2 linked regions of the Arabidopsis thaliana genome follow. The protein of the gene in region 1 interacts with the protein of each later gene in a pairwise test. Each region holds a gene or a part of one and is shown in the gene's direction. Other genes may lie near its edges.

What was found. The genes of interacting proteins can lie anywhere in the genome.
Region 2: the proteins of AT5G02760 (region 1) and SAUR15 interact in binary tests that used the Arabidopsis thaliana proteins (3 or more experiments, as listed by UniProt).

Annotation. Positions count from the first base shown.
Region 1 is NC_003076.8:623,645-627,654, forward strand, and holds AT5G02760 (Protein phosphatase 2C family protein), read left to right. Parts: upstream 1-1,609; 5' UTR 1,610-1,732; coding exon 1,733-2,024; intron 2,025-2,099; coding exon 2,100-2,461; intron 2,462-2,618; coding exon 2,619-2,855; intron 2,856-2,951; coding exon 2,952-3,173; 3' UTR 3,174-3,480; downstream 3,481-4,010. UniProt on the Arabidopsis thaliana protein: Dephosphorylates and represses plasma membrane H(+)-ATPases (PM H(+)-ATPases, e.g. AHA1 and AHA2), thus influencing negatively plant growth and fitness. Promotes the apical hook maintenance of etiolated seedlings.
Region 2 is NC_003075.7:18,124,275-18,127,333, forward strand, and holds SAUR15 (SAUR-like auxin-responsive protein family), read left to right. Parts: upstream 1-1,782; 5' UTR 1,783-1,982; coding exon 1,983-2,252; 3' UTR 2,253-2,555; downstream 2,556-3,059. Other genes in the region: CRK26 (cysteine-rich RLK (RECEPTOR-like protein kinase) 26), read left to right, coding at 1-49, 122-272, 355-669; AT4G38840 (SAUR-like auxin-responsive protein family), read right to left, coding at 900-1,199.

The DNA of each region.
Region 1 (4,010 bases):
TCTTACTCTTTTGATTTGACTTCAATTAGATCTATATATTGCATCAAACTTTTTACCAAATTATGCGTCAAGTCACACCAATTGATGAGGTTGGCCTTATCGAACTAGTGGAACCGTCATATGCGAAACCAAATATAAGAAATGAATGAAAGACCTTTCAACAAAATTAATAAGCAAGTAGAAGTAAATCCAATATCAATATAACAATTGGTTAAACCTAAATTATATGCATCCAATACGAAAATTCTTTTTTTGGTATCTTTTAATCCGTTTATTATATTTGTGGAGCCTAAGTTGCGGATCCACTTGTATTCCTTATTTGAATCATTGTTATCATTTCTCATTGTTTGTGACTCGTGAGCTAGAAGAAACAAAAACAAAAGGATAACGTAATTTTGATATTTAAAGTAAACCACTATAAATCATTGTGTGTGTGTTTTTTCTTGTTTTAAAAGATCGAATTAGGGAGCCTAACATGTTTTTGTCTCAAGAGATTATTATCATTAAAAAAAACAAGTGGAAGTGGAAGTTGTGTAACCCACTTGTTGAATTCTTAACTTCGAAGCACAACAAAAAGATAGACGAAAAACGAAAACTCGATCTAACTTCGACATATGCATTAGATAACATATAGAAATTTAAACAATCTCGTTGATGAAATTGGTCTATCAACACACGACAGTGGTTCTCTCTACAGTAGCATCAAATCGGTGGATCCTTATGAACAGAAAAAACGAGGAGGGACAGAGGAAGGCCAATGAGGGGTCATGCAAAATGGAACTTAGCAAAAGTACCAAAAAGATCCATCCTCTTTGAAAATTCATTTCAGCCCCATAATTATCCATGACATGAATTTCGATCTGAATCTCACAACAAGTAAGAGATCAGCTTTTGATAACATTAAAGAAAAAGGTAAAAAAAAGAAAGACGAGAGACTGAGAAAAGGGCAAAGACCTGTAGGGGTTAAGACAGCTAAGAGTGTTCCTCAGTCGCCCCACAAATGTCTTCTCTCCTCTCTCTTCAGTCTTTCTCAGCTCTCAAATCTTTAAATGGTTCCAAGTTCAATGCTCCCAAAACCCACGCCCACACATGCATCCTATGACCTTTCCTTTTCTATCCATTTTCTTCCCACAAATTACCACTTTGCAAACAAAAGCCAAAAACTCATTTACAAGATGAGTTAATAAAGACACTAACACACAACCAATGTGAAAACAGACGTTTACATGAGATATTGTTACCTCTAAGAAGTCATTAATCATATAATGAGAACATTCTTGCTTCCTAAGTTTTTACAAGATTATTAACCTCTAAGAAAGGAGAGACACTTTTAACGCAATAATAACTACATGATGTTATAAATATAGGAGAGAGTAGAAAAGAATATGACAGCCCTACTAAGACAGAGAATCATCATCGAACAGTAAAGAGGAGAATCTCTGAATATCCACTTTAAACTACTGCCCTCTTGTCTTAACTCTCAGAACCATTTAATTTTTCAGTTATTTTGACCCATACCCTTTTTGGCCTCTTTCCCTGCTTTCCAACACCTTCACACTTACTCTAGGGCTTCCACGGCTATATATATATGGTCCCTTCCTTAAACTTGTATCTCATAATTCACAACCAGCACTGCTACTACTAGTTTATCATTATTCCATCAATTTATTCTATATAGAGTTCTTCTCTGTTTATATTACGATATTGCTCGAAGATTACATACCTGAGAAAGATGGTTAAACCCTGTTGGAGAATAGGTGCCGGTATGGAGAGAAGTAAGATCAATCCCACAAAGGTTGATGGTTTGACATGGTACAAAGATCTTGGTCTTCACACCTTTGGAGAGTTTTCCATGGCAATGATCCAAGCCAACAGTGTGATGGAGGATCAGTGCCAGATCGAATCAGGGCCGCTTACATTCAACAATCCGACAGTTCAAGGCACATTTGTTGGAGTTTACGATGGCCATGGAGGTCCAGAGGCTTCCAGATTCATTGCAGACAACATCTTCCCCAAGTTAAAGAGTAAGACACCGACTTTTTTTATTTCCTTTATTGTTGAATCTGCCAGGCACACTAACACTGGTCTCACATGAACAGAGTTTGCGTCCGAGGGTAGGGAGATTTCAGAGCAGGTGATCAGCAAAGCATTTGCCGAGACAGACAAAGATTTTCTCAAGACAGTGACGAAGCAATGGCCTACGAACCCACAGATGGCATCAGTGGGGTCATGTTGCTTGGCAGGAGTGATATGCAACGGATTGGTGTATATTGCAAACACGGGAGATTCCAGAGCTGTGTTGGGCAGATCTGAGAGAGGTGGAGTGAGAGCTGTTCAGTTATCTGTAGAGCACAATGCCAATCTTGAGTCTGCGAGGCAAGAGCTATGGTCATTGCATCCTAATGACCCCACCATTCTTGTGATGAAGCACCGCTTGTGGCGTGTGAAAGGCGTTATCCAGGTAAACATTCATACATGATAACGCATCTGATAACCTGCACAGAGTTTTGCTTCATCAGTTTCTATGAAATACAAAAGCTTAAGAAAATCATATATTGAAGCCTATCTTGTGTAAGGATGTAAAACTGACTAGCAAATGTGTTATGACCTTTAACCAGGTCACAAGATCCATAGGTGATGCATACCTCAAAAGAGCAGAGTTCAACAGAGAACCTTTGCTGCCCAAATTCAGACTACCAGAACATTTCACTAAGCCAATCCTTAGTGCGGATCCATCAGTCACCATTACGCGGCTTAGCCCACAAGATGAGTTTATAATTCTTGCTTCAGATGGGCTTTGGGAGCATCTTAGCAACCAGGAAGCTGTTGATATTGTGCATAATTCCCCTCGACAAGTAAGTTCAATGCCTAACCCATATACAAATACGTTACATACTAGCACAATGCACACCAAGAACTATTCGTTAATACTAATACCTTCACAATCACAGGGAATAGCAAGGAGACTACTTAAAGCTGCATTGAAGGAAGCAGCAAAGAAAAGAGAGATGAGATACTCAGACCTAACAGAGATCCATCCTGGTGTAAGAAGGCATTTCCACGACGATATAACCGTTATTGTGGTCTATCTCAACCCCCACCCGGTCAAAACCAATTCTTGGGCTTCACCTCTGTCAATTAGAGGGGGATACCCGATGCATTCAACATCATGAACAGATCTTACGGCAAAAACACTTCCTGTGTCAAGGGCAATAAATTGGAGCCAGGGTCAAGAAAAGAACTAGTAGTATAGCTAGAAACAATATTAAGTTATGAGATCTTTGATATGTTCTCCACAAGAAAACATGAATTCTCATGTACCCCTGTATGCAAAATTATACACGAGGGTACTTGCATGCAATATCATCAATGTCAACGCTGGTAAAATTCGAAAGCGTTGCAACATATTGGAGTTTAGGCACAAAACAGTAGATAGCCAAGAAATGTGTTGAAACTTAACATTACATTCCCTTTATAAAAGTTTTCTGGCGCTTCATTCAAAATTAACAGAAAGCAAGTATCAACAAAAGTTTATCTAAAATCTATTACAGAAACAAAGAAACTGTGTAGCATCAGAAGCCAGCAAAAACGCAGTCCCACGAACAGAGAATTTAGAATCTGAGGCTCTCTTTCCTTCAACTGCCATAGAGACCAGAGATATGGAAACCAACAAGTACATCTATAGTTCTAATGATGTCTTACATGACAAAGAAATTCTGAAGTAGCGGCTTGAGAGGTCATATGAAATTAAGTAACCTAAGAACGACACATGTTTATGGGATCCATTTTGCATGCAATATTCGCAATCAAGCACAGAACACCAGTAGACCAGCTAAATTTCGTAACCAAGACTAAGAAAAACTAGCAAAATAGGCACAACTCAAAAGTAATCAACACTTCTAATTTCTAACTAGTTCAAAACAGTAAAAAAATGTCTCCCTTACTTAAATATTTGCTGCATGCAGTACAAATTTTCAATTGCTGGTGCTTGTGCTTGATACGAACATGCA
Region 2 (3,059 bases), on another chromosome or scaffold:
ATATCGACCACACGACTCAACGCTACACGAATAGGATCGTTGGGACTTTGTAAGTAGCAAAAACTAACATTCATCTTTTACTCATCAACCTCGATTGTGATCAGTCATTTGGTTTACACAGTGGATACATGGCTCCAGAGTATGTAATGCACGGACAGTTCTCGTTCAAGACAGATGTTTACAGTTTCGGAGTTTTAGTTCTTGAGATCATCAGTGGTAAGAAAAACAGTGGTTTCAGCAGTGAGGACAGCATGGGAGATCTCATCAGCTTCGTAAGTATATTACATGCAAAAGCATTGAGATTTGATCAATAACTGTTAATTCACTTCACTGAGTTCTGATGTTTTGGTAAAGGCTTGGAGAAATTGGAAGGAAGGCGTTGCTTTGAATCTTGTGGACAAGATTTTGATGACAATGTCGAGTTATTCATCGAATATGATCATGAGATGCATAAACATTGGTCTTCTTTGTGTCCAAGAGAAAGTTGCAGAGAGACCAAGCATGGCTTCTGTTGTTCTGATGTTAGATGGACATACTATTGCTCTTTCAGAACCATCAAAACCTGCATTTTTCTCACACAGCAATGCGGTATCAGATAGTTCTTCTTCTTTAGGACATAATGCAAAAACTTCAAACTATAATTCCAACACTGAGTTGTATCCTCGGTGAGTTTGTTTGGACACTGAAATTAAGATTTTCAAGATGATGACTAAATGATGGTTTTGATTAGATTTGAGTCCAACTCACTGTAAGTGAGGAAAAAGAGTGTTACAAGTCTCTGTTTCACTTTCAAGGAGAGATGCTGTTTCTAAGTCATCTCATCTCTTGAAGAAAACTAATTGGGAAAACAAAATGTACAAAAATCAATGACAAAAGTAAGGTTATCGAGTGAGTCATGATCAGTTGAAGCGAGAAGCAAGATCAATAAAAATTTCTTCACTGCAAGGGATTGTGAGGCCACCCATTGGATGATCAAATCCAAACTCTTCCTCTGCCTTTCTTAATAGATCTTGAAATGAAGGCTGGTCCAAGTACGAAACCGGAACTACAAATCTCTTCATATTTTGTTCTCCTACGTAAACCGCTAAGTAGCCTTTGGGAACATCAAGAGAGCTAGAAGAAGAAGATGATGACAACAGTTTGGCTTGTCGGAGAATCTGCTTCGATGATTGCAGCACACGAGGGATTCTGATCGCCATGGATTGTCTTTAATTGTAAGTTAGATGCTTTATTGGAAAATGTGAGAAACTTGCAGAGCAGAAAGGAGTCAGTGATGAGTATATATAGATAAGAACATTACTTGTAGATAACCCTTTATTGGTTTCAAAAGTTTCAGCTCATAAATTTTTACACCAACAAGCAAGCACATGGCTTTGCCGGACCACGGCATGATAAGTAAGGGCCCTATAGTGATCAATCTTCATGATTTCTGATGTGAAGACAGAAATCAATATGACCACTTGTTTGTTAGATAGACACTATAACTAGTCAAATTTTCCTTTCTTGCCACAGAATTTTTTTGAAGGCTTTTGTGACTTTGTCAGTATATAATCAAATCATGTGGTCCTGTCTTTTGAATATCATTGAGAAGAAGGTATGACTTAATCAGTGATAGAGACTTGTGGTTCATTAGGTACACAACTTCATGTCCCTACATAATCTATAGAGAGATTTGGCATGTGATGTCTTTGAGACAAATAAGCCCCAATGAAGTTATCATGTAGGACATCATTAGACACTAACTTCTCAGACACCATTTATTGATTTGTTCTTGGTTTAGTATCTACAACCCAAAGCCATGTGCTCTGTAATTAAAAAGAAAAACCTCAAAAATACTTAATCATTTCTTTCATACGTTCGTTTATATAACAAGTAACTAAACCCCTTTAGATTCACAAACTAAAGAAGATCCAATTTTAAAATCTCAAAGCTTTCTCCAAGACTAAGAAACATTTAAGCTTCAGGAAAACATAAGGGAAAATATGGCTTTTTTGAGGAGTTTCTTGGGTGCTAAGCAAATTATTCGAAGGGAATCATCGTCGACACCAAGAGGATTCATGGCGGTCTATGTAGGAGAGAATGATCAGAAGAAGAAGAGATATGTGGTGCCGGTTTCATACTTAAACCAGCCTTTGTTTCAACAACTGTTGAGTAAATCTGAGGAAGAGTTTGGTTATGATCATCCAATGGGCGGCTTAACAATACCATGTCATGAATCTTTGTTCTTCACAGTCACATCTCAGATACAATGAAGTACTATACTACAACATTTCCATATTTTTTTTAGATTGTTAGCTAATTTCCCCTGGAGATAATTGTAAATTGTTTCAATGAGAGGAATATACAATACATAGATCGTAATTGATCAATGCGTATTTGCATGTTAATACATTTGTGTCTTGTACCAAAAAAAGGAATTATACATTTGTGTCATTTAACTCTGGACACCATACATTTCGTCATTACAGTGAAACGGCAGAATTTGAACACTCATTATTCTGGTTGGTAGTTATTTCCATATTTCTCAAAGAACATTTATGTGACTATTATCATTCCTTGCGACAACTGTAATAATGAGAAAACTTGGTATTTTTTTTGGCTCTTCATATAAGTTGTTTAAAAAATGTATTTTCAAACAATAATTAATAGTGGCCCAAACATAATTTAAAATAGGTTTCGAAGCCCAAAGCCCATAAATTAAACGCCTAACATTCACGCGCTCTTTGACTATGGTTGCTTAGGAACAGATGCGCGTGGGGAAGTTGGCACCGTTTTTTCTCTTGCTTACATCTATTTTTTTTTCTTAAACGTCTATTTATTTGCTTTACGTCATTGTAACGTTTGTTTGTTTTCTCTGTATCGTTAGTTGTTGTACACTTGTACTATGGACGTTGAAACCTGCCGGTTAGTCCGGTTCAGCTAGCATTTTTTAAATGTACATCTATTTTCTTATTGAATTATGTGTATAATGTTATTATTCTCTGACTATAGAGTTAAAATATGTTTTTGTTTTTTGGATGACAAGGTTCAGTTTATTTAAAAAACAAAATAAATCTAAC